Callithrix jacchus: one gene and its partners. The protein of the gene in region 7 interacts with the protein of the main gene of each other region in a pairwise test. Links are inferred from orthologs where the notes say so. Each region holds a gene or a part of one and is shown on either strand. Other genes may lie near its edges. The genes, in order: BAHD1, TNFAIP8L1, SYT6, SNX22, KLHL12, WT1 and DVL3.

Region 1 (3,500 bases), on a different chromosome or scaffold from region 7:
GGAAGACTCATGCCAGGTCAAACTCTAGGCAGGGGCCAATCTGGGGCCTACAGTCCTGCTAAAAGCAGCTGCGCCTTGGGTCCCCAACCAGAGGGAGAGGTACCTGACTCTGGGTTCTCCCAGAGGGCAGAGATCTTGGCCACATAAGGCGTGGAGGTCTTTCGTGGGCCTGACTTGAGGAGGACAGTGTCCCGGACTCGGATTGTCTCCCCGTGCCGCTCTACCGCCTGGTAGCTCTTTCGGATGGCTGGTTCCGGCTCATCCTAGGCAACAAACCAATGACACACAGAGGCTTGAGGGCCACACTCAGAGTAAGGATAGAGGGAGGGAATGACCTACTCTCTACGATTTCCTCAAGGTAGTCATACCACTAAGCAGGTTTGGATGGGGCTGGGGAAATCTCATGGTTGGAGAAAGGATGGGAAATGGGAACAGCATTGGCAGGGGTGGTGGAGTGGCCTGAAGCTTCTGGGACTGAGCTCTGACCACCATACCCCTTGACAGCTGACTCTCACTCCAAGCCCCTCAATGCTGGATAAGTGCTCATGCTTCCTAATGGAACAATCTCGGTCTGAACCCTTAAATCACTGTTAGAAGGGGCACAGTCTTAGACAAATTATTTAATCCACTGCTAAGCCTCAGCTTCCGCATCTGTAAAATGGGGATAATTACAAGAACATGGAATATATACCACATAGAGTAGTGGTGGAGCATAGAGGGAATAATACAAAGTGCTTAGCTCAGTTCTGGCATCTAAGAAGTACTCAATAAATTTTATCTATTTGTTTGTTGATTTATTTATTTATTTTTAGAGACAGGGTCTCGCTCTGTCACCCAGGCTGGAATGCAGTGGTACAATCATAGTTCACTGCAGCCTCAACCTCCTAGACTAAAGCAATTCTCCTGCCTCAGCCTCTCAAGTAATTGGGACTACAGAGGCATGACATCATGCCTGGCTAATTTAAAAAAATATTCTGTAGAGACAGGATCTTGCTATGTAGCCCAGGTTGGTCTTGAACTCCTGAGCTCAAACAATTCTCCAGCCTCAGCCTCCGAAAGCTCTGGGATTACAGGCATGAGCCACCTTGCCCAGCCTCAATAAATTTTAGTTGACATTCTTTTTATTTTTAATTAATTACTTTTAAAAGCCAGGGTCACTCTGTCACTCAGGCTGGAGGACAGTGGTACAGTCAGCTCACTACAGCCTTAAACTCCGGGACCTTAGCAATCCTCCTACCTCAGCCTCCCGAGGAGCTGAGACTACTGGTGCACAACATACCTGGCTAATGTTTTTACTTTGAAGAGATGAAGCCTATATATTGCCCTGGCTGATCTTGAACTCCTGGCCTTCTGTGATCTTACTACCTCCGCCACCCAAAGTGCTGGGATTACAGATGTGAGCCACTGCATTTGGCCTCTTTTCATCATCCCAGATGTCCTCTGTATCACTGATTTTCTCTGCCCGTTCCAACTTCTCCATATGGACTTACCCAGAAAAGTTCTCCATTGAAAGTCCTCCATTTTACAACTCAGGCTGTAAGGGACAGAGTGAGCAGGGAGGAGAAAGACACTCAGGAAGACACAGAGATGGCAGCCACCAGCTATGACTATGTGTCTCCTGACCTCTGTGGGGTGTCCGGTACAGGATTGGTAGGGGGCTGGGGAAGCAGGCAGGGTGGGCCAGCATGAGTGGTTCCTGGGGTACCAGTAAACTAGAGTCCCTTGTCACCTCTCAGAGTAGCTAGAACCAGGTGCTCTTAGCACCTACCTCACGGCAGGTTTTGTGTTTCCCACTGCCTCCTTCCCTCTCATCATCAGCTAAAAGTTGGCACTCACCAAGACATACACAGCCTTCTCACAGGCAGCCCCGACAGGTACCCAGCCATTAGTGCGGCGGCGACGGCGGCGGCGAGGGCGTGGGCGCTGGACACGTGGCTGCTTGGGGTGGCTGGGCCTGCGGGCAGCCTTGCTCCTTGCAGTGTGCCTGCAGCCAGAGCCCGTGCGCAGACCTGACTTAGAACCGCTGGGAGGTTTGGCGCTCTGAGGGCACGCACGGGCTACTGTCTGAGGCTCCGAGGTGGGTGTCTGAAGATGGGGGACGGGCTCTGCTGCAGGTGGCACACTGGGTACAGGGCATCCCAGGAGGGGGTGGGCGGGTGAGGCTGGGTGGCCAGCTTCCGGGAGAGGAAATTCCAGCTGGCCCAGGGATCTGCAGCCTTCTAGGAAAGGGAGAGAGTGGGTCAGGACAGGACAAGCAGTGACCCTCATCACCCATCTAATTGCAGAGGCTGTTCCTGTCTTAATTCTAAGTGTGCAACCAAAGGCCACCGAGATGGCCAATGTGATCAGAAGCCTTTATGGTGGATTGTCAGAGTGACTCTCTAAGGGGACGGGGGCATTTCCTGATCTTGGAGATTGGCATCTCCTCTTTTAGTCTGAAAGAGGTGGTGGGAACATCCTTTTTAACTCCAATGTTAACTTTTTTTGTTTTGAGACGGAGTCTTGCTCTACTGCCCAGGCTGAAGTGCAGTGGCATGTTCTTAGCTCACTGCTACCTCTGCCTCCTGGATACAAGTGTTTCTCCTGCCTCAGCCTCCTGAGTAGCTGGAAGTACAGGCACCCGCCACCACGTCCAGCTATTTTTTTTTGTATTTTTAGTAGAGATAGGGTTTCACCATGTTAGACAGGCTGGTCTCAACCTGCTGAGCTCAGGCAATGTGCCCGCCTCGGCCCCTCAAAGTGCTAGGTTTACAGGCAGGAGCCACTGTGCCTGGCCCTGATAATATTAACTTTATAAGCCTTTCATAATGCTTGGGAATAGGGGCTCTGGAACCAGACAGCCTGGGTCCTGACACTTACTAGCCATATGACCTCAGGCAAGTCACTTTGCCCCTCAAAGCAATATAAACAGTAGTTATGAATATCACACATATTTGTTAACTTGCTATTTTCTTATGAACACATTAACTAATTTCATCCTTACAAAAACCCTGTGAGGTAGGTATTATTACCCCCATTTTATAGTTAAGAAAACTGAGACAGAGAGCAGTTACTGACTTGTCCCATAGTCACATGGCTAGGAAAGTGGGGGAGAACATTTCACTCCAGGCAGTCCTGCCCTGGGGTCTGCGCTCAATTACATGCCAAGGAACATCCCATATGTAAAGCACTCAGAACGGTGCCTGGTATATGGTGTTCACTGGTGTCCTTATTATTAGAGAAAGGGGTAAGGGTCTAGACTTGGGGAATGGCACACAAAAAAGAAGGAAAACCCCAAGCAGCAGCCTGTTCTGATGTCCTAAGAGCTTTAACTCAAGCCACAACCTGAAATAACTAGTCTGGCCAGGGCCAACTGGTCTATAAAGTTGTTTTATAGACCCCTACAGAAAGGATGTCGGGGGAGGGATATCTCTGGAAGGTACAACCCTCACCTCCCCAGCAGCAGGGCAGACCTGCTGGCCGGCATGGCTCTGGTTACCTCATTTCCACCCAGGAGGCTG
Region 2 (2,850 bases), on a different chromosome or scaffold from region 7:
GCATGCCACCCTGACCAGCCATAATTTTTTATTTTTAAATTTTATTTCTGAGTTGCCCAGGCTGGAGTGTAGTGGCACAATCTTGGCTCACTGCAACCTCCACCTTCCAGGTTCAGGTGATTCTCCTGCCTCAGCCTCCCAAGTAGCTGGGATTACAGGTGCCCACCACTATGCCTGGCTAATCTGTGTACTTTTTAGTAGAGATGGGGTTTTACCATATTGACCAGGCTGGTCTGGAACTCCTGACCTTTAGTGATCCGCCCACCTCAGCTTCCCAAAGTGCTGGGATTATAGGTGTGAGCCACCACTCCCAGCCCTGTGTATATATATATAATTCTTTTTTTTTAGAGGTAGGGTCTCGCTATGTTGCCCAGGCTGATCTTGAACTCCTTGGCTCAAGTGATGCCCCTGCCTCAGCCTCCCAAAGCACTAGGTTCACTGGAGTGAACCGCCGTGCCCAGCTTGGTGAATGCTTTTATTTAAATTGTTCCATAGCTCTGTTTGCTTTGTTTCCTTTAATTAAATCTCAAATTTACAAGAGTCCAGACAGGCTGGCCAGCCCAACAGGGGCCCAGACAGTCACGCACGCACATTGATGTCTCAGCGGCCCAGGATTCCATCGGGGGCTCCATGAGAAAACCGGAATGCGCAAACGCCCTCGAAGAACTATCTCGGTCTGAGATAAGCTGAGAAGGTTGCCTTGGAAGCGTAGGTAGAGGTAGGAACAGCTGGCTCTCTGGCCAAAGCCTTTGGCCTTTTTGCAGAAGCAAGAAACCAAACCACAGGAAGGCTGCTCCAAGTGTGGGCTCAGAATTTCCTCTCGGTGAGTGCAGCAGGCCAGGGAGAGGCGAAAGGGAGTGGAGAGGACTGTGGCAAAAGGGAGACGGGTGGCCCCACACAGCTTCACCAGGGGTCAGCGCAGACTCAGGCGGCTCGACGGGCAGGTTTGCAAGAGAATCTCCAAATCCAGACGGGTGTGTGCGATCTCCTCGTTTTAAAAACTGGCAAATTCCAAATTTCTCAAATACTGGATGGAGCCAGCTACACCTACCTTCTCACCGAGTAAGGTCCATGGGCCCCTTCACAACCTGTACCTTCCACAGACAGGTTCTGCCCAACAGTCATGGGACCTCGTTTCCCGCCCCAACAGGCACCCAAAATAACCTTCCCGACCTGGGGCAGCATTTTGCAATCTTCGAGAACCCGTGCCCCCTTCTGACAAACAAAAATGGGAAATAGACTCCCCACACGCCGCCTCCATGTCCCCAGCTGAAATCACATCTTGTGGGAGGTGCCAGAAGCCAAGATGGGCCGAGGTTTGCTTCCTTGGGTCTGGCTTATAAAAGCAACATGGCTGGCTGGTTAGTTGCTGATTCTCCAGACATGAAATCACGATTTTACAATGTGCACACTTGGGGAGGCCGAGGTAGGTAGATCGCTTGAGCCCAGGAGTTTGAGACCACACCGGGCAACACAGTGAGACCTTGTCTCTACAACTATTAGAAAAATGAGCCGGGTGTGGTGGTGCACACCTGTGGTCCCAGCTACTTGGGACAGAGGTGGAAGGATCACTTGAGCTCAGGAGTTCTAGGCTACAGCGAGCCAAGATCGCACCCCTGCACTCCAGCCTGGGCGAGACAGCGAGACTGTGTCTCAAACAATAAATAGAATGTGCACACATCTTAGGTGGGTTCCTCCTCACCCCTGGGGTAGGGGGCAGTCCCTGGATTGGAGCAGTTTCCCCTCCCCACCCAGGGCAGAGGTCTCTGGCCTCATCAAGGCATCCTTGATGCCAGCAATGCCAGCATTTGCTAGCGCTTTTTGAGATGGAGTTTTGCTCGTCTCCCAGGCTGGACTGCAATGGCGTGATCTCGGCTCACTGCAACCTCCGCCTCCTGGGTTCAAGCGATGCTCCTGCCTCAGCCTCCCGAGTAGCTGGGACTACAGGTGTGCGTCACCACACCTGGCTGTTTGTATTTTTAGTAGAGACAAGTTTTCTCCATGTTGGTCAGCCTGGTCTCGAACTGCCAACCTCAGGTGATCTACCTGCCTCGGCCTCCCAAAGTGCTGGGATTATAGGCGTGACCCACCGTACGTGGCCCAATTACCCCCCCTTTTTTTGTGTGCTGGGACTCAGATCCAACCCCCCTTTTTTAAGGACACGTCAGTGAATTGGGGTGGGTCTACTCCAAGATGGCGTCATCTGAACTCATTCCAGCCGTAGTGACCCTCTTTCCAAATCAGACCATCTTCTGAGGTCCCGGGGTTAGGACGGGAGTTTATGGATTCTGGGGGGCTATGGCTTGCCCCCTAACACGCCTTCCCCCAGTTCGCTGTGTGAACTCCCAGTCCCTGGGCGAAAGGAGGAAAACCCCAGGCAGCGTCATCAAGTGCGAAGCAGCAGCTTTTGGCTTACATCAGGCAACCCAGGGGTCGGCCTGGCCCAGAAAATACAACAGAAGTGGAAGGTGGGCCCTGGCGAGGCAGTGGTCCGCAGAGTAGGGCCTCGAATCCCTCCCCCATTGGGCGGGGGCCGGGAGGAGAGGCGACATCGGCGTTTGAAACTGCTGCTACATACAGATGGCTCCGCGTCCTCTCAAAGGGGACAGGTCACCCACCTGTCTAGGGGGGTCTGGCCGGAGTCCGACTGGGAGAAAAGAAGTGGGGAAAAAAACCCCACACCCAGCAGAGGAGCCCCATCAGGCGCGAGGGGCGCGGTCGGGCGGCCCCTGGGGGGCTCAGAGGCTGCCGTCGTCCAGCATCCGGCCCAGGCCCTCGCAGATCCTGTGCAGGTGGGAGCGGTAGGGCTCCGTGGGTCCGTAGAGCGCGGCCAGGAAGTCGCAGTCGGCC
Region 3 (4,256 bases), on a different chromosome or scaffold from region 7:
GAGAATCTGGACCCAGGTAGTGGCTCTGGGATGCAGAGAGCAGGCTGGGAGGAAGAACAGCTGGGGCCTGGTCCTGGACTCCACAGAATCTCCCCAGACCCTGTGGTCACCTAAATTCTCAGGATCCTAAGACCACTCTCAACCACTTTCTTTCTCTTGCTATGATCAAAGGGTCTGCCCCTGCCTCCGCCCTCCATATCCCTTTCAGCCTCCCAGCTTGCCCCCTGGGCTTCTTGGACTTGTGACTCAGCAGCCAAAGTTAAAGTTTTCCTGAGCTGACAACTCAAACTCATGTCCTGAGGCAGCCTGCAGGGAAGGCATAGTCATCATCTGGGTCTGCTGACTCTTACCCCTCAGGCTTTTCTCACCCACAACCTGGCCATGCAGGCACCTGTCATTCCAGATTATGGGCATCCCTCTGGAATCAGAACACCAGTGCCTCCCCCTACCAAGATGTGCTGTGCACAGATAGCCCTACCCCACCTCCAGCATCTCCCCCCCTCCCCCGCCCAGCATTTCTGCCCTAGAGAGACAGGAGGGGCAGCTTCCTTTCAAGGTGGAACTAGACAGGTATGTTCTCACCCTCTAGGCTCTGAGGGTCAAACATTAAGGCGGCGCTGGAGATGGACCAATGGTGGAAAAGATGGAAGGGGGCTGGGGAGTAGGGAGAGGCAGGAAGAGACTCCCTAATAGGGAAAATTCTGTGTCTGGTGGGTATGGGGAAATGGGTGGTGTAGGAGGGGATGGCACTGGAGAACCAGAGACCTGTAATAACTTGCCAGGCCTAATCTGTTCTGAGAATCTCCGAGGTGAGGAATCAACTTCCCCAATCTCCATCTCTGAACCACCCTCTAAAAGTTCTTCATGTCTAACCTCAGTCTCTTCTGCTGCAGTGATCAAACCATTGACTAAACATTGCCACAACTAGGGAGAGCAGCGACTCCTTCGACTTTCAGTGCTCAGGTGGGCTCCACTCACCCCAAGGCTGGATACAGCCCCCTCACACACACAAGCCTCCCCTTGGGCCACTGCCCCTCGCCTGAAGTGTTCCTCATCGGAATCTACCTCCGTATATGACCTTTAACCTCAAGTGAAAGAAAACAGGACCCTGGGAACCTGCAGCCGCTGGGGAGTTTACCCCACCTGTACCTGCTCCCGGAACCGCCGCTACGGTCCCAGGCTTCTTGTCCCCGAAGCAACGCTTGGGGACCAAATTCCTGCCTCTGGCAGCCCCTTCCCTCCCCTTCCCGCGCCTGCGGTGCGGAGCCACGGGGCAACTCCCGAGTACTTGCAGGCCCAGCACTACTGGGGTCGGGGTCGGGGGACAAGGAGGGATGGAGCCTGCAGAGCCTCCTGGACCCCCGGTGCCCTGGTCCCTGCAGGATCTCCCCACCCCCATTCCGCATTCTCTCCAGGCCTCTCACTCCCCCAGCCCCTCCCCCACGGAGGGGACGCGACCCCGCACTCCCTCCGGCCCCGGACCCTCAAGACGTCGGGACAAAGAAGCCTCGCGACGGCCGGCGACTGTGGCCGCAGGGCACTGGTGCAGCAGGTAAATACCCGGGGCCGGCCGCCACGTCGCCGACCCTCCCGCGTCTCCCGCCGCCAGGGCGCGACACGCCATTCCCGCTGTCGCGACTCCCGGGAGACGCCGTAGCTGCGCGCCGGGGTCCAGCCCGGCGGGGATCGGGCTCGGGACTCACCCGCTCCAGCGAGCTCGACTCGGCTCGGGCTCCCGCCTCGGCTCGGCAGCCGCCTGGGGTTGCGTCCGACGCAGGGTCCGCGCGGCTCGGGCAGGAGGCGCCCTCTTGGCAAAGTCGGCGAGAGGCGCCGGCTCAGTCGCGCACCCGCCCCGAGTCCGAGTCCGAGAGGGACCGAGGGAGCGAGTTATAGGGGCGAGGGGGGTGGGGGAAGGACGACGCGACACCCTCATACCCTCCCCCACCCCGCCCCCTGTCCCCCGCCCCCCAGCGGAGACGCGGAAAACCACTCGCAGCCGGAGAGACACCCGGACACAAAGACCTCGTGCCAGCCGCAGACCCAAGTTTCTCCCAGAGAGACCGGGGGTCCTCCGTGTTCACCACGAGAACACACAAACGGACGGACAGACCGATGCACGAACCCCGGGACCTCGACACTCGCTAGGAGACAAGCTTTCTTCCTCAGCTAGGCGCCCCTCGTCTCCCGCTCTCTCCACGGACCCCTCTTCTGGCAGGTCGCCTGCAGAGCGAGCCTGGAGATGCGAGGGAAACTGAAGCCCCGAGGGTGCCCCATCCTGGGAGCCTGGCTGTCTGTGGGGTCCCCCGCAGTAGTAACACCGGAGGACCGGGGGAGTTATACCCCCACCCCCGGTCCCTTTCTGGTGTCTCCTGGCTGTGGAAGCGATGGGCCAGGGGACTGGCCCGAGGCTGGCTTCCAATCCAGAATACCGAGCTGGAGAGTTCTCTCTAGGTTTTGGGGCTCCTGGGACCGGTGCTCTGGGGAGGGGAGTCCGCAGGACGGGAATCGAAGAAGGGAGAGGGCTCTGGGTCTCCCGTTACCTGCGCCTGCCGCGCTGGGACTCCGCTCTGGGGGTTGCAGCTCGAAGCTCCGACAAGTCTCCACGTCCAGCCCAAGAGGGGGCGGCCGGGCCCGGCACAACGAGGCGAGAACCGCGAGCGCCTCCTGGCACCGAGGCCCGCCGGCCCCCCACACCCCGCTCATGCCCCAGACACCCAGGCCTGCCGAGCAGCAGCTCGAACCCGCGCAGCGGCCGCACTGGGGCGGGGCACTACGGCCCCTAGAAGACCCTCCCTGCAGCGGCCCCCTGCGGCTCCGCTCCGCTTTTAATCACTTCCCCGCAGGGTCCCCGCCCCTCACGTGGCATCCCGCGGCAGCTGGCAAGTCTGGCGCCTCGCAGCCGCCCCCTCTACACTCAGGGACTGGCCTGAGTCAGGGGAGGGGGGTTCGAGGCAGGGAGTCGGGCTGTCCCGAATCTCAGAGGGTGCAAGGCTGATAAAGAGCCCGGGTTCCCGCTCTGCATTCACTGCTTGGTGTGACCTTGGGCGTCTCTGCGCCTCAATTTCCCTCTCCGTAAAGGAGGTGTAATGATTTTAAGTGCTTCACTGGCTGCCTGGGAATAGAAAGATCGTGTTTGTGAAAACATTGGGTAAACGGCCACATGCCACACAAATGGCAGCGAAATAGATAACCCTGAAACAGAAAGAGCGACGGTCAGGCTGGGGCTGGAAGGGCCTTGGCCGCGGTTCCTGACCGGAGAAGTTATACTGGCCCCAAGTCCCAGCTTCGGAGGTAGAAGACCTCAAGACAGGCGGGCGATGCGAACTGCAAGACTTTCAGAGCTCCGCAATCCTGCGGTCCGCGGTACCCGCGTGTTGCTATGGCGACTGGTGCCAGCGGCCGTCTCTCTCCATGGCAACGGGAGGGGAAAGTTTCTGGCGAATAGGAATGGGGGGTCATTTCAAGAGGGCGCGGGGCGCTGAGTTCCGCCGACCCACCTCTCCACTTCAGTGCAACAACTCCAGAGATCATGTATCTTTCTACTAAGCATAACAAGAAAGCTAAACGCAAGGACTGAGGCTAAAGTAGAGATTCCCCCAGAAACTGTGGAGTGAGGCCCAGGAGCAGACTAGCTGTGGGGCCTCAAGGCTCCTCACTTAGCGCTGGAAGTCTGTGCGCCATGGTCAGGGAGGCCGCGGAACCAGCTCCCTGAAGGGGCCTATCACGGGAGTCTCTTGATCTCCACCTGTCGGCGTTTGGCCCCTTCTGTGTGGGGCTCGCCTGAAGCCCCAGACTCCAGTCCATTTGCTCTCCCGGAGCTGGGAAGGAGACTTTAGCTGCAGCCCTGGAAACCGCTGGGTTGGTGTATGCCCGAATGGCTGGTGAGGGAGGAGGGTCTCGCCCCTTAATTAACACGCTTATTGGAAGTGACTCGGGCAGTGACTCAGGTTCCGGAGGGAGGAGATTCGGAACCCCAGCTCCTGGCAGTCTCCACTGTGAGCCATCTGTGCCAGCAGGCCCTTGGACTTGCGATTCCCTAGCAGCTAGTGCCCTGGGCACCAAGGGCCAAGACGTGGCCTGTGAGGACCCTGGGTCAGGCAGGCGGCTTTTCCACCGTGAGTCGTTCCCTGGCTCTGTCCACGGTGCTGAACCCAGTTGGTGCTACCATCACGTGAGCACTGGGTTAGAGGATGGGGGAGAGGCAATTGTGGAAGGCTCGCATCTTCCACCCTAACCCCTGTGCCTGTGATAGGAGG
Region 4 (4,021 bases), on a different chromosome or scaffold from region 7:
GTGTAGGGCTGAGAGGTGGGAGCAGAGGCCCTTTCCAGCACATGGCCTGAGAGAATTCTGGATTAAAATTCTGCCACATATCTAGGAAGCAGCTGCCCAGAGGGGTGGACAAGGGCAACTTGTGCCACCCCCTAAAGTCCCTCTTCCCATCCGCTGCCCTGTGCCAACTTGTCCTAGTCATCCAGGACAAGCCCACAGTCAAGCTGCTACTCAATGCTTTTGCTAAGGACCTAACATGTCTCACTTTTTTTTTTTTTTTTTGAGACAGAGTCTTGCTCTGTTGCCCAGTCTGGAGTGCAATGGCACGATCTTGGCTCATTACAACCTCTGCCTCCCGGGTTCAAGCCATTCTCCTGCCTCAGCCTCCAGAGTAGCTGGGATTACAGGCACGTGCCACCATACCCGGCTGATTTTTAGTAGAGACGGGGTTTCACTATGTTAGCCAGGCTAGTCTTGAACCCCTGGCCTCAGGTGATCCACCCGCCTCAGCCTCCCAAAGTGCTGCAATTACAGGTGTGAGCCACTGCTCCTGGCCAAATCGTCTAACTGTATACACTCTCGTCAAGGAGCCACATTATGCCTATTTTGCAGATGAGCAAAGGTCTACAGGGTTCCTGAAATCCAGGCTGTCTGATCCCCAAATCAGAGCCTAAGTCCCTAAACTGCGTCTTCCCCACAAACAGCCTGGAGCCGCTTAGGTTTAGAAGATAGAAGTGGATGGATGGATGAAAACAATGACTGAACGGAGGGGCCTGTGGATGCTGGGGAAGGGGACATCATACCTGGATTGGGTCCACGCCCTGCTCAGGTGTGGCCTCAGCCGGGGACTCCAGGTCGACAATCCCAGGGACTAGGCTGAAAGGAGGGAAAGGCTGGGGAAGGGACTGAGGAACGCAAGGCAGGTAGGTCCCTGGTTGGCCCGAGGAGCCGCACTGAGGCCCGAGCCCGGCCTCCGTCTACGCCTGGAGCCACAGGCCGTTCTTAGTCCTTAGTAGACACTTAAGATGGGTGACATTTTCGCTCACCGGTTCCTGGCATCAGTGAGCGCTCAGTAAATGTTTGACAAATGGGTGACTCCACTGCCCCGCGCTGCGTCCTGGTCCCGCCTAATCTTCTGGGCCCAGGACCCGCCGCGTGAGGGAACGCCCGGGGCGGCGTCGCCTGGAGGCGGGGCCTGGGTGGGGCCTGCGGGCTTAGGGGGCGGGGCGGGGCCGGCCGCGCAGGGGTCGTCTGTCTGCTCCGGGAGAGTTAGGGCTCGGATCCGAGCGCACGCAGCGGCCGGGGCCGGGGCGCGGATGCTGGAAGTTCACATCCCGTCGGTGGGGCCCGAGGCCGAGGGGCCCAGGCAGAGCCCGGAGAAAGGCCACATGGTGAGCGCGGCCCCTGGATGGGGAGGGACGCTGGGACCTGCTGAGTTTCCCCGCGCTGCGCTCAGTGGGCACCCGGAGCCCGGGCCGGGGTGAACGGGCGCTGCGGGCCGGACCGTCGGGGGACACCTTGTCGAGGGTTTGGGGGTCGCTTGGATTTGCCACCCTCGCAGACTGTGGTTCGGGCTCTTGAGAGACCACAGGGCGCCGAGGGGTGGGTCCGCCAGCCGGTTCTCCCAGGTGTGCAGGAGCGGAGCGTCCCGGGGAGCCGCGGCGCCGCAAGGCCGCTTTGTGCCTTTGAGCGCGGGGCGGGTGGGCGCGTCGCTGGGCGCGGGTCCTGCTTCGTCCTCCCGCGGGGTCTCACGCGCACCCCCACTGCCCGCCCGCGCCGCCAGGTGTTCCGAGTCGAGGTGTTGTGCAGCGGACGCAGACACACGGTGCCGAGGCGCTACAGCGAGTTCCACGCGCTGCACAAGCGGGTGAGGCGGCGCCGACCCCCCACCGACCCCAGCCCAGCCTCCGTCCAGCCCCTGCCCAGGCCCTGTGAGGCGGGCGGGCGAGCTCCAGCCCCAGGCTCCGCAACCCCCATGACTGCCCTTATCTGAGGAGGGGAGGGTGCAGGGGGGCACATCCTGGTTCGCACCGACCATGCCCCTTTATGGCCGGTCACCCCGGGAGGCCCAGCGCCCACCCTCCCGGGCATCTGTGGGTGGTTTGGGGCCTCCCTCGCCATCGGTCCGTCCACCACTCATCAGGGTCTGTCCCAGAGTAGAGCCTGAAGGCGGGGGCACGGGGCGTGGGAGGGCTTCTGGCTTGGGCGAAGAGGGCGTGAGGACTCAGTCGGGATGCTGTGATCGCACGCGGTAAATCCCCAGTAGATCAAGAAGCTGTACAGAGTGCCCGACTTCCCCTCGAAACGCCTGCCCAACTGGAGGACCAGAGGGTTGGAACAGCGCCGGCAGGGCTTGGAGGCCTACATCCAGGTATGCAAGGGCATGATTGGTCGCCGCAGCCTGCTGTGCCAGGGATGTGGCCCAGACAAAGAGGTGTGGGGCCATGGCAGGGAGGGAACCCACAACTTGGGGATGTTATTCAGCACCTCAAGCGTGCATTTTCTGAAAAGTAATATAGGTCCAAATATCCCTCTCTGGAGTATTGAAAGGACTGAATGAGGTAACAGACACAGGTAGTCCGAGCTCCATGAAAGGCAGGTCCTGTCCCCTCCAGGATGAGGTCCTGTGCTGCCCTCCTGATGGGATGTACTGTGAGTGTCTTCCCCCAACAGCAAAGCTATGCCAGTTCGCTGGGTACAACCTGTGGACACAGGGCCCAGTACTCACAAGGGCCCTGAGCTTGGTTTAATGCTCTGCTGTCATTGTCTTGAAATTCTTTTTTTGGAACAAAAAGTCCTGCATTTTCAGCGACATTGGGCTATGCAAATTAGTAGCTGGGTCTGATTGCAGGTCTCTGTCCTCTCCAGGGCATCCTGTATCTAAACCAGGAGGTACCCAAGGAGTTACTGGAATTCCTGAGACTTCGGCACTTCCCCACAGACCCGAAGGCTAGCAGCTGTGGGTAAGGGGGCGCTGGGGGTGGGGGCCAGGGGCTGTCAGCAGAGAGCAGGTAAGGAAAGGTGTTGGAGGGCCAGCCCTTTCTTCTCACACCTGCCAGGCCCCAGCCTGACATGACCGCCCTCACCAGCTTTCTCGACCTGGGTAGAGGAGCTTTTTTGGACAGCCTTGGTTACCCCAGCCACCTCCGGAACTGGGCTTGTTACAAATAGAAGCAGTGGTCCCCTGGGAGGTACAGTTCTGGGCTCTGGTGTCCCCACCCCTTCCTCACGTTCCCCCGGGCATCCCCAGGCAGCTTACAGTGTTTCTCTTCTGTTCAGCACCCTGGGGGAGGTCCTGCCTGGTGACAGCAGGCAATTCAAGGCCCTGACCAGTGCCTGGCCCCTGCCGCCCCCTAGTGGCCATATGCTAGGAGGCCGGCCTGCTGCCTGGGCCTGTCCGGCCTGGGCCCTGTGGTCTGCCCTCCCCTTGGTGCCTCCTGAGCCCATTTCCCACTCACCTTTTCCTGGTGATCTCAACCCCATCTCCACCCCTCTGTGGGATTCTGCCCTGCCTCCCGCACCGATGGTTCATGACCCTCTTTCCTCCCAGCTCCCAGCAGCACCAGCGGCCTGTCCTGGGGTTCCATGTGGATCCCTATGTGTGCACCCCCTCCCCAGGTGAGGAGCTGCCTAGATCCAGGGCTACAGGAGGTGGGCTTGGTGTTGTTCTACTCCCGGGATCCCCAAACAGCATGTCCTTCCTGCTGCCCTCCTCTGGGGCATCACCTCCCACTCCCGTTTCCCCTGGAGCTGTACAGACACAAGGAAAACAAGTTTGGCTTCCTTGGTCTCCATTTCCTTCTTTACCAAGCTGATGTGAACAGAATGCAACCTGGGAATGCCAGGGCTTCATTTGGGATGGACAGCTGCTGTCTGCTGCCTTGGCAGGGGCTCCTACTTCCAAGGGCAGTTGCGGGGGGGCGGGGGGGGAGATGCTGAGCCCATGAACAGGACCTCAAGGAGCTGCAGGCCTGAGGCCAGACCTGTTTAATTCTATCCCACAGAGCCGCTGCCCAACGTGGTGGTGGATGGTGTGCTCCAG
Region 5 (3,500 bases), on a different chromosome or scaffold from region 7:
GCTGAGGCAGGAGAAGAGCTTGAACCCAGGAGGTGAAGGTTACAGTGAGCTGAGATCATGCCACTGCACTCCAGCCTGGAAGAGGTATACTTAAGATCTGTTATTCTATTACACAAATATCCTAGTTTTAACAAAATAAATTAGGAGGGAGTAATCATTTCATTTATGGAAGTATATTTTAGGCTTTCTTTAAATGGTATTGCCTGAGGCTAGTACTGCTTGAGCCCAGGAGTTTGAGACCAGCCTGGGAAATATAGTGAGACCCCCATCTCAACAACAAATGTTAAAAATTAGTGGTGGTGTGCAATTCCAGCTACATAGGAGGATGAAGTGGGAGAGTTGGTTGATCTCAGACATACAGGCTACAGTGAGCCATAATTGCACCACTGCACTCCAGCCTGGGTGACAGAGTGAGACCATCGCAAAAACAAAAATTAAAGAATTGGGCCACTGGAGATCAACACTACAGGCTTCAAAGACATCTAATAACTATATTGGACTTCTCACTCCAATTTTTAGCCTAACTATAGACCTGTATGCAATAAAACTCTGCTACTGGTATCTGATTTAGAATTGACTTAAGATTCTTCTGTATAGGTTAAGTCACTGAATGCCTGCCTGGTACAGGTAGTATCCCACTGGTAGGTGAAACATTATTCCTTTTTCTTCCCCCACAAGAGACAGGCTCTTGCTCTGCTGACCAGGCTAGAGTGCAGTGATGTGATCATGGCTCACTGCAGCCTCAAACTCCTGGGCTCAAGAGATCCTCCCACCTCAGCCTTCCAAGTAGCTGGGACCACAGGTGCTCACCACCATGCCAGGCTAATTTTATTTTTTTGTAAAGACGGGGTTTTGCCATGTTGCAGGCTGGTCTCAAACTCCTGGGCTCAAGCAGGTCTCCTGCCTCAGCCTCCCAAAGTACTGGGATTACAGGCATAAGCCACTGCACCTGGCCTACTATTCCTTTAAGATCTAGTTCACCTGTCCCTTCCTTCCATCCCCTGCACCCTCAAAAGAAAGTTTTGATTTGTCTCCTGCTTATGAAGATCCTCACTTCCAAACTTTTATCTCTTCATTTTTGATCCACACCTGGGTTTATTCTTCTTTCTTCTATGTAATGTCCTTACTTTGTATAGGCTCATTATTCTCATTATCCTCTCAACCTTTTTTTTTTTTTTTTTTATCTATATCCCTGTCTCTACTAGCATATTGTGAATTTTCTGAAAGCAAGAAACTATATTTACCCACTTGGGGATCTGTAGCACCTGGCATAGTATTGCTGCATAGTAGATATTCTCAATAAATTTTGTGAACTGAGTGAATGCGTAATAAAGACGTGTTCTACAGATACCGACTTTACTTCCAATTTCTGCTTATTCTATACTCTGTTTAATAGTGATTCTTACCGATTGGGATCATACACCTAACTGAAGAAAGTAGCAGACTCCCTCTCCATAAAAATACAAATAAATTTGGTACAGGAGGGATTAATGAAATCTTTGAGCCAATATGGACACTTGAATATGAAGCCCTGGTAAGTAACTGCATCCTACTTTGCCAGTTTTGTAATTGCCCAATCTTGAAGAAACCATAACACAAAGACAAATCTGTACCTGAATTTCATCACACTTGATTAGCTTTTCCACCTCTCCTTGACTCAGAAGAATGAATTCTTCATGCTGTACCACTTCAGGAAAATGCTTCTGGCTAAAAACCTCAGCTGCTTGCATCAGGTCAACACAATTGTGGGTTTCGGCAAAATCCCTAATACCCAGGCAATTAGAAGGGTCCAACTGACTTTCTAAGAACTCACAGCAGGCTTGTTTCACACCTAGGATAGACACAGGCAGCAAACACTTTAGAATAGTCAGACAGGTGTGATCTACTCTATATTCTTATATGTTGACATCTTCTCTACATGTTATCAGATGAACCCTAAGAAACAGATTAGAAATTCTATGCTTAAGGATCTTAAACTCTATTTCTGGCTTACATGCTGTGTCACTTTCAGCAAGACCTTTACACCCGTCTCTGCTTATTCTTTAAAATCAGTATTGCAAGATGAATTGCATCCAGAGACACTAGCACAGTTCAACAAACATGCCTATAAAACTCTTGGGAATCAAACTATAAAACCAATTACTAATTCAGCATAATGTACCTATTTTCTACTCTACACAAAAACCTACTAAATGACTCGAGTGAAAGAAAAGCAGAAGACAGTAATAACAAATCTCATATTTACCTAATTGAAAAGTTCAGAGTATTTAAATTTTACAACTATGCACTAATGCAAAAGCATCACGCTATTTAAATCATGTATTAAAAACTAAAAATGTGTCAATTATGTATATATAAAAACTGAGAATAATGAAAACATAACTGAATGTTAAAAAAGAAAAACCGGGGCCGGGCGCGATGGCTCAAGCCTATAATCCCAGCACTTTGGGAGGCCGAGGCGGGTGGATCACAAGGTCAAGAGATCGAGACCATCCTGGTCAACATGGTGAAACCCCGTCTCTACTAAAAATACAAAAAATTAGCTGGGCATGGTGGCGTGTGCCTGTAATCCCAGCTACTCGGGAGGCTGAGGCAGGAGAATTGCCTGAACCCAGGAGGCGGAGGTTGCAGTGAGCCGAGATTGCACCATTTTGCACTCCAGCCTGGGTAACAAGAGCGAAACTCTGTCTCAAAAAAAAAAAGAAAAGAAAAGAAAAACTGGGGACCAGGAATGGCAGCTCGATCACTTAAGCCCATGAGCTTGAGACCAGCCTGAGCAACACAGAAAGAACTCATCTCCACAACTTTTTTTTTTAATTAGGTGGGTATGGTGGCATGCATCTGTGGTCCCAGCTACTCAGGAGGCTGAGGTGGGAGAATTGCTTGAGCCCAAGAATTCAAGGCTACAGTGAGCTGTGACTGCACCACTGCACTCTAATCTGGGTGACAGAGGGAGACCCTGTGGTAAAAACAAAACAAAAAAACCCAAAAAACCTGGGAATTGTACGGGAAAACAAACCATCTGTAATCCTGTGAAAACTATCATTTTTTTGTGCATGAATTTAAAGTTCATTTAACAGATATTCTACATAGTTCAAATATTTGAAGATACAAAAGGGTTTACCATGAAAAGTCCCCCTAGCCTCATTATCAACCTGGCTACTTAATGGCCAGGTAAATGAAGAGTATCCCTGTAGGCTATGTAAAATATCAGTTTTTTATACTTCTTACAGATGTGTTATATACATGTATGTAAGAAAATACATAATTTCTTCTTACATTTTTTTAAAAAAAAAAAAACATGCAAGTGCTCCTTTCATAGAGCCACATATGCATATCAGAAGTTCCTTTATACTGCTATTGACATCTGATTTTTTACTGCTTAATGAGACAAAAGGGATAGCCAGTAAACGTGAGCATCCAGTTTGTCTCCAAAATGGTCACGATTAAGTTTACACTATTAATTTTCAACCTTTCCAGGGCTATTTTGACATAGCAAG
Region 6 (3,500 bases), on a different chromosome or scaffold from region 7:
TGCCTCCTAGCCTCAAGCAATCCACCCACCTCAGCCTTCCATGTAGCTGGGATTACAGGCATGTGCCACCACATCTGGCTAATTTTTTTTTTTTTTTTTTTTGTAGAGATGGGATTTCACCACATTGCCCAGCCTGGACTCAAACTCCTGAGCTCAAGTGATCCGCCCACCTCAGCCTCCCAGAGTGCTGGGATTACAGGCGTGAGCCACCATGACCAGCCAAAAAAATACATTTTTAGGCCGGGTGTGGTGGCTCACACCTATAATCCCAGGTGTGGGAGGCAGAGGCAGGCAGATCACCTGAGGTCAAGTGCTAGAGACCAGCCTGGCCAACATGATGAAAACCTGTCTATATCAAAAATACAAAAATTAGCCAGGCATGGTGGCAAGTGCCTGTAATCCCAGCTACGCAGGAGGATAAGGCAGGAGAATCACTTGAACCCAGGAGGCAGAGATTCCAGGGAGCCGAGATTGCACCACTGCACTCCAGCCTGGGTGACAGAGTGGGACTCGGTCTCAAAAAAAAAAAAGAAAAAGAAAAATACATTTTTATTTCAGAAATCCTTTCCAAATGTAAGTAACAGACCAATGAAAACTTTTCTCATTTTTTTTTCTTATGCAGGACTGAACAGAGGAAACTGTTGACACGTTGTGCTTCATCCTTACAATATAGCTTCTGCCTCCTCAGCAAGTGACTAAGAGCACGTGTCAAAAGACCTTAAAAAGTATCGAAATTATCTCAACTATGGAAAGATCCAGCTGCAAATACATGCCAAAATTCCTTATCTGTGATTTTTGTAACTGAACAAACGAACCCCTGTATTACAGCATGAAGATGTTTTTAAAACTGAAACGTACTGCTCACTTCACAATCATGTTCTGTCTATCCTTGCCATTTAACTTGGGGAACGTTATCAAGTTCTGAGCAGAGGAGAAAGGAGAAAAGGAAGGGAGCCAGGAAGAAAGAGTGGGACCAAAAAGCCCTGAGCTTAAGACAAGTTAAGAACAGGTAGAAAGAAGCGAAAACTGTCAGCAGTCCCCTGGATGAAAGACAGGAGAGATATAACTTAAAATAACAGAAGTCTTCTTCTTTGATTTCCAGAGAGGAAGAGAAGATCTGGGTAAAATTGCTGAAAAATACTGGGGTGGAGTGAAGTGAAGACTCCAACAGTAAGTCTTGGAAGATGAAATACAACTCTGTTGATTACTTAAGGATGAACCAAATAGCAGGACTGGGCCAACACAAGGAAGAAGAAATGGGGGTGGCTGATTGCCGAGTTTAAGCAGAGAAAAGAAAAAGAAACAGCTACAGAAATGCCCCAGGGTGCAGGGTATAGGGCTGGGAAAGGTGTGAATGTTTGGGAATTTTAAAAAACTTTGAAAAACAACCAAAAAAAAATCTTCGCAAAGCCTGGCCTCTGACTTAGGGTAAGTTCTCCCTGAGACACTTAAACGTAAATAAAGAAAAAGCAAGTAAGTTAAGACTGAAAGACTTGACTGATCTAACGAGAACATATGTAATGCTACAAATTTAGTATTTTGTGAAATATTCACAAAGAAATGAGCAGGATTCCTACTGCATCATCTTTAAATTGTTTTCCAGGAGCACACTGAAGAGAAATGCCACTCCCTCCATTTCATCCCCAGCAGTGTAGAGGAACAAGAAGAGGTGGGGCCGGAGGAGAGAGACTCTTCCCATCCACCAAATGCTACCCTGATTACCCACATCAGTCCTAACTCCTGCATTGCCCCAGGTGCCAGTCAATAAGGCCTACGCCATTTGCTTGGCCATCTCCGCATTGTCCACTCACTTGCTCTGCCCTTCTGTCCATTTCACTGAGCTGGAGCTCCCAGCAGCAACTCTAGAAGAGAAGAAGAGGTGGGGAGTGGGGAATGGAGCATGCATGGCTCTGGTAATCCCCCCAGATCCCAGAATCCAATGAAAAGCCCCTCAATATACAGAGACATCAAGCTAGGTGTCAAGAGTGCTGAACTGAGTCCCCAGTCCCACTGGGGCCAATGGTGGGGTGGAAAGAACCACCTGGAGGCTGCAAAGAGCTTGGACTTTGGAATCAGATGTGGACTTGGAATGCCAGCTCCAGCACTTAGTAGGATGTGAACTTGGGAAGTAAGTTAACACTCTGAGCTTGGTTTACTCATCTGTAAACCATGCAGTACTTAGCCCTCATGAAGGTGTTGGGAAGATAAGATGAGGCAACCTGGAAGAGCACCTGACATGCTGCAGGCACTTCATGAGTGTTCTATGCTATTGCCCATCTCTTCATATTTATTAGAAAATGAAAAGAGTTCTTTCACTGATGAAAGCAAGTCCCACCTTCTTTTTTTTTTTCACTTTTAGGTGCAAAGAGTAGCCCCTTCCTATGTTTCCTGGCTGTATTCTCCCTATTATGGTTGTATGGTCAAGTATGGAAAGAAAAACTCTGTTGGTGCAATCAGGTATGGGCATATCGGACTGTGGATTGCCCAGATCAGCATCACACAAATATGAATTTGGATCCTGGACTTTGTACACCCAAAGCACCTCTTGATAAGATAGCAGAATGGTTAACAACTGTGACATCATAGTAAAACCCAATTATTAAATGAGGTTGAATGGCTTTGTCCCCAATATTCCTTGTTTCAGATAGAGACACCACCTATTTATGTTTTTGAAAATTTAATACTGAACAGAACTTATCAACTAGGGGAAGGAGGAAAGCATTCTAATGCCACAGAGAGCTCTGCCCATTCTTCTAAAACTGTACTCTCTTCATAAATTCTAAGCACCTTTAAAATGGTTCAAACAGGTGTGAGTTACTGTGGAAAGGCAATGGAATAGAGAAGACCTTACCCCTTTAAGGTGGCTCCTAAGTTCATCTGATTCCAGGTCATGCATTCAAGCTGGGAGGTCATCTGGTATAAATTGTCACTGTTAAAAAAACATCCAGAGTTAGAAACACATAAGCACAAAATAATACGCTATTGTTTCTTCAAAAGCAACGGAGTTTTAACTTTTCTTGAGAGTGGAAGCCTCCACATTTTCCAGAATGACAGAATATCCAAGTCTGAAATTATGTTCATTTCATCCCACTGATCTCTGCGCAGTTATACACTTCATACACAGCAGAAAAGATGGGAGAGTAACTCGGAAGCATTTTTTAAAACCTTAGTATGGCAACCATCGAAGTTACTAAAGAAGTATGAAACCTTTGAGGGGAAAAGGCTAAGGGGAGTGAAACTTTGAAAGGCAACGCAGGCTGGATAACTCAACATTAAAGTTAAAAGCCTGGAGCTGAAAGTAAAGACAGCAGATTAATTATTCGTGAAAAGGCCATTAAGTTGTTTTAATCAAAAGGATAAGTATCATGTGGATTATGAGGGTCTGAAAAGTCAAAGAGTGATGGGTGATAAATGGTCTAGAAAGCAAAAATGTGACAAGCAGAAGAAAGATGATGATAAACTCGATGCACAGCTGAAGGAATCATTTTCTATATGTTTTA
Region 7 (4,066 bases):
CAGGCGTGAACCACTGAGCCCAGCCTCCACTTCATTTTTAGCACTGTTTTCAACCCTGCTAAAATGGTCCAACTCTGATATTTTGGTTCAAGTACCACTGACGTTTGCAAGATGGCTTCAGGTGGCACATAAATTAACATTGCTTAGTTCAATCATTAAATATTTACGTTAAACGTATTTTAGAAAGAAATATAAATAGAAAATCAGACCTATGGTTTCACATTATTGCTTGGTTTAAGCTAAGAAAAAGAATGAGTGGGCCGGGTGTGGTGGCTTGCACCTGTAATCCCATCACTTTGGGAGGCTGAAGCAGACAGATCACGAGGTCAAGAGATCAAGACCATCCTGGTCAACATGGTAAAACCCCGTCTCTACTAAAAATATAAAAATCAGCTAGGCATGGTGGCACGTGCCTGTAGTCCCAGCTACAGGAGAGGGAGGCTGAGGCAGGAGAATCATTTGAACCCGGGAGGCGGAGCTAATTTTTTATTTTTAGTAGAGATGGAGTGCATGCCCACTGCACTCCAGCCTGGGCAACAAGAATGAAACTCCGTCTCAAAAAAAAAAAAGATTAAGAATGAGTGGACTGACACTGGATTTAAAGAAAAATATTAACAGTGACTGGTGTAATGAGGGCCCTCTTATAACTACAGTTTGGCCTGCCTCAATAGCAGCCTTGGGAGAGTGACAGCAGCCCAGAGTTGTCCAGGCTTAGGAGGCAGGGGCCAGGCCTGGTGGATCTAGAGATAAGTGGAGGTTGGAGAGACAGCCTATCCTAGCCCTGCAAGGCATCTGGATCTGGGATGGCCCCAGGGCACTGGACTCTGGCTGATCTTCCCCCATTCCTTACGTGGAGGCTGTAGCTTGATCCCTTCTAACTCTATTCTCTTGCCAGGCCAAGGCACCCACCCCCTCACCCAGACCCCTTCTGGATCCATCCCTCCTCAGAATCTTCCAATCAGAGGTACCTGTCTCTGGGCTGAAGGCAGACAATCGTCACCACAGCAGGAGCACCCCACCCCAGGGCAGGAACAACAACAGAAACCAGAATAGTTAGAATCTGCATAGCACTGCCCACTGTACAAAGGACTCTCACACACAGGATTTCAGGGGCTCATCCAATCCTGAGTTGCCGAGCAGAAGGTGACAGCAACACACGACAGGCATTAGACAGAAGATGCTTGCTTCCCAGGGCTAGGTGGGTCAGGGGCTTGGGAGAGAAGCCAGACCGATGAACACTGGGGAGAAGAATGTCTCCTCTTGGCTGTGGGGCCTCAGCTCCAAAGAGCAGTCCAGGCCGCAGGCGAGGGCTGAAAAGGCAGCCTTCAGGCCTGGTGGGGCCTTCCCCAACGACTCCAGGCCCAGCGCCCAGCTAGTGAGGCGGCAGGCTAGTGTGGGCGCCTTCCCCTCCTCCAGTCTCCTGGGAGTTGGGGGGTTCGAGGGGATCTGGCTGGCCCCCCCTGCTCCAGGCCAGCTGCTTCAGAACCTTCCGGCTCCAACATTCCATCCCCTCTTAAAGGGGAAGTGACTGCCTCCCAACTCTGCCTGTCCAGATCTCTGCAGCTGGGTGGAAGGGAAGACCCCACCAGGGAGGGGAAGATGGAGAACACCAAGAAACTCTTCCTGGCCCTCCCATCCAGGCCCCAGGCCCTTCCCAACGTCTCCCCCTTGGCCACCATCTGGAGGAAAAAGGCCAGAATTGGAGGAAAATCAGCACCTGGGTCAGTGAGGACCAGTCCTCAGGGGTCAGGCGCTCTGTTCCAGTGACAACACCCCCAGCAGCCCACAAGGGAGAGGAGAGGCAGTTAAGATAAACATGAGATCTGCAGACCCTGCTCCCGGCCGGCGCCCGAGCACCCCCGTCACCCCTCCCCCAGCTCAGAGTCCCAGCAGAGCACTCAGCTGCAGCATACTCCAAATATGGCTGGGAGCTGCGCTGCTGAAAAGACGAAGGGGCGAAGAACCAGGGCCACGCAACCCCAGTCTGCGGAAAAGGTGGCGCCGGCCCCTCGGCAGGAGGAGGACAGAGACTCGGGCTCCGGAACCAGGTGGAGGGGGGGGTGTGTCTGTCGCTGGGAGCCACTGGTCCCTGAGGAGGTGAGGGGACCGCACGGCAGGAACTCTGATTGCTCTCGGGGAGCTGGACGTCCCCTTCAACCAGGGAGGCCCAGGTCCCCGCTTCAGGGATGAATGGCAGTCCCTAGAGCGGCTGGAACCCACGGGGCCCCAATGGGCCGAGTCGCCCCTGAAGTCAGAGCGGGGCTAGGAGCGGGTGAGCGAGGGAAGTCGAGAAGGGTTGCGTCGTCCCTGGGGAGCCGCCTCTGGCTCCCGGGGGCGGGCAGGGGCCATTCTCACCCGAAATCGTCGTCCATAGACTTGAAGAAGAACTTATAGCTGGGTCGCTGCAGAACGCCCTTAAAGTCCGCCAAGGTGACGCGCTCGGCGGGCAGGGGCAGCTTCACGAGGTACGGCGTCTCCTGCCCGTCCAAGTGGTAGATGATCTTGGTCTCGCCCATGGCTCCGGCCTCGGGCCCGGAGGCCCGCGCGCGGCCTTGCTCAGGCGGCCGGGCAGAGCCCACACGGCGGCGGCGGCGGCGGCGCGCGGCGCGGCCCGGCGGTTCAACCCAGCTCGGCGGCGGCCCGCGGCGCCAGCTCCCTTGTTCTCCGGCCGCTCCCGGGTCCCAGCGCCGCCCGCCGCCGCCGCGGCCGCCGCTTCCGCTCCCCACTCTCCCGGCTGGGCTGGAGGCCGCTACTCTTCCGGTGGCCGCGGCCCTCCCGGCCCTGGGCTGCGTCCCGGCCCGCTCCCCTCCCCCGGCCCGGCGCGGCCTCGCCCCGCCCCGGCGCGCCCCGCCCTCGGCCGCCGCACGGAGGCGCCGGCCTCGCCGGCCTCGATGGACTTCCACCCGGCTCCGCTGATGTCCCGCCCCCTGGCCGGGCCGCCCCGCTCCGGTCCCGGGTCCTTAGAGACTGAACGGGAGATTCACCGGGAGGGCGGCGTTCCCGGAACCGCGAAGTCCTGACTCTGGACCTGATTGGGATGGGTTGTTCCTCTGCGGTCCGAGAGGAGTGGAATGCAGGGATTGCTTTGGTCCCCAGAAATGGTCTACGGAAAGAGGGTGGCTCTGACTCTGGATCCCTGGAGGAGAGTGACGGCAACATGGCCCTTCAGGGTTTCTTGAGAAGCACAACTGCTGTCACGTTGTCTACGAAACTGATCTCCTCAAGGGCAGGACAGCATCCAGTTCGATTCCTCCCTATAGCCTTAGCGTCCAGTTGCAAGGCAGTGGTTCAATAAATTATTAAATGAAGAATAAGTTAATGCATGCACCCCGGACAGTAAGTCACCAACCCGAACTAGGTATAGCCTGTTCCTCTCAGACCTCCTTTTAATTCATTTACTAAACACCGAGGGCCTACTATGTGTAAGGCATACTGCGTGAGATATAGCGGTAGCAAGACAGACATGGCTGCTCTCAGGACCTTCCTTCTGCTGGAGGGAAGCGCATAGGCTTGTAAATAGCTTCAGAGTGGCAACTGCTATGAAGAAGGTAAAACAGAGTGCTGTGATGGGATCAGGGGAAGTCGGGCACAGTGGCTCATGCCTGTAATTCCAGCACTATGGGAGGCTGAGGCAGGTGGATCACCTGAGGTCAGGAGTTTGAGACCAGCCTGGCCAACATGGTGAAACCCCGTCTCTATTAAAAATACAAAAATTAGGCCAGGTGCGGTGGCTCACGCTTGTAATCCCAGCACGTTGGGAGGCCGAGGCAGGCGGATCACAAGGTCAGGAGTTCAAGACCAGCCTGACTAACATGGTGAAATCTTCTCTCTGCTGAAAATGCAAAAATTAGCCAGGCATGGTGGCGTGCACCTGTAATCCCATCTACTTAGGAGGCTGAGGCAGGAGAACTGCTTGAACCTTGGAGGTGGAGGTTGCAGTGAGCCGAGATTGTGCCACCACACTCCACCCTGGGCAACAGAGCAAGAAAAAAAGAAAGAAAAATTAGCTGAGTGTGGTGGTGGGGGCCTGTAATCCCAGCTACTCAGGAGGCTGGGCAGGAGAACT

What was found.
Region 1: the proteins of DVL3 (region 7) and BAHD1 interact in binary tests that used the Homo sapiens proteins (3 or more experiments, as listed by UniProt). The two-hybrid records come from large-scale screens. The link is inferred for Callithrix jacchus from reciprocal best matches to the Homo sapiens genes DVL3 and BAHD1.
Region 2: the proteins of DVL3 (region 7) and TNFAIP8L1 interact in binary tests that used the Homo sapiens proteins (3 or more experiments, as listed by UniProt). The two-hybrid records come from large-scale screens. The link is inferred for Callithrix jacchus from reciprocal best matches to the Homo sapiens genes DVL3 and TNFAIP8L1.
Region 3: the proteins of DVL3 (region 7) and SYT6 interact in binary tests that used the Homo sapiens proteins (3 or more experiments, as listed by UniProt). The two-hybrid records come from large-scale screens. The link is inferred for Callithrix jacchus from reciprocal best matches to the Homo sapiens genes DVL3 and SYT6.
Region 4: the proteins of DVL3 (region 7) and SNX22 interact in binary tests that used the Homo sapiens proteins (3 or more experiments, as listed by UniProt). The two-hybrid records come from large-scale screens. The link is inferred for Callithrix jacchus from reciprocal best matches to the Homo sapiens genes DVL3 and SNX22.
Region 5: the proteins of DVL3 (region 7) and KLHL12 interact in binary tests that used the Homo sapiens proteins (3 or more experiments, as listed by UniProt). The two-hybrid records come from large-scale screens. The link is inferred for Callithrix jacchus from reciprocal best matches to the Homo sapiens genes DVL3 and KLHL12.
Region 6: the proteins of DVL3 (region 7) and WT1 interact in binary tests that used the Homo sapiens proteins (3 or more experiments, as listed by UniProt). The link is inferred for Callithrix jacchus from reciprocal best matches to the Homo sapiens genes DVL3 and WT1.

What each region holds. Positions count from the first base shown.
Region 1 is NC_133509.1:46,140,418-46,143,917, forward strand, and holds part of BAHD1 (bromo adjacent homology domain-containing 1 protein), read right to left. Parts: intron 2,220-3,500; coding exon 1,837-2,219; intron 264-1,836; coding exon 104-263; intron 1-103.
Region 2 is NC_133523.1:4,392,656-4,395,505, reverse strand, and holds the end of TNFAIP8L1 (tumor necrosis factor alpha-induced protein 8-like protein 1), read right to left. Parts: coding exon 2,739-2,850; 3' UTR 501-2,738; downstream 1-500. UniProt on the Homo sapiens protein: Acts as a negative regulator of mTOR activity.
Region 3 is NC_133508.1:152,140,292-152,144,547, forward strand, and holds the start of SYT6 (synaptotagmin-6), read right to left. Parts: upstream 2,801-4,256; 5' UTR 2,704-2,800; coding exon 2,541-2,703; intron 2,294-2,540; exon of another isoform or gene 2,123-2,293; intron 1,861-2,122; exon of another isoform or gene 1,704-1,860; intron 1-1,703.
Region 4 is NC_133509.1:10,955,376-10,959,396, forward strand, and holds SNX22 (sorting nexin-22), read left to right. Parts: upstream 1-1,221; 5' UTR 1,222-1,295; coding exon 1,296-1,370; intron 1,371-1,762; coding exon 1,763-1,846; intron 1,847-2,245; coding exon 2,246-2,350; intron 2,351-2,847; coding exon 2,848-2,942; intron 2,943-3,038; exon of another isoform or gene 3,039-3,170; intron 3,171-3,529; coding exon 3,530-3,794; 3' UTR 3,795-3,895; downstream 3,896-4,021. UniProt on the Homo sapiens protein: May be involved in several stages of intracellular trafficking. Interacts with membranes containing phosphatidylinositol 3-phosphate (PtdIns(3P)).
Region 5 is NC_133520.1:29,958,063-29,961,562, forward strand, and holds part of KLHL12 (kelch-like protein 12), read right to left. Parts: intron 1,832-3,500; coding exon 1,614-1,831; intron 1-1,613. UniProt on the Homo sapiens protein: Substrate-specific adapter of a BCR (BTB-CUL3-RBX1) E3 ubiquitin ligase complex that acts as a negative regulator of Wnt signaling pathway and ER-Golgi transport.
Region 6 is NC_133511.1:97,782,733-97,786,232, forward strand, and holds part of WT1 (Wilms tumor protein), read right to left. Parts: intron 2,930-3,500; coding exon 2,852-2,929; intron 1,863-2,851; coding exon 1,812-1,862; intron 1-1,811. UniProt on the Homo sapiens protein: Transcription factor that plays an important role in cellular development and cell survival. Recognizes and binds to the DNA sequence 5'-GCG(T/G)GGGCG-3'. Regulates the expression of numerous target genes, including EPO.
Region 7 is NC_133516.1:13,139,265-13,143,330, reverse strand, and holds the start of DVL3 (segment polarity protein dishevelled homolog DVL-3), read right to left. Parts: upstream 2,801-4,066; 5' UTR 2,517-2,800; coding exon 2,356-2,516; intron 1,473-2,355; exon of another isoform or gene 1,168-1,472; coding exon of another isoform or gene 1,097-1,167; exon of another isoform or gene 1,067-1,096; coding exon of another isoform or gene 969-1,066; intron 1-968. UniProt on the Homo sapiens protein: Involved in the signal transduction pathway mediated by multiple Wnt genes.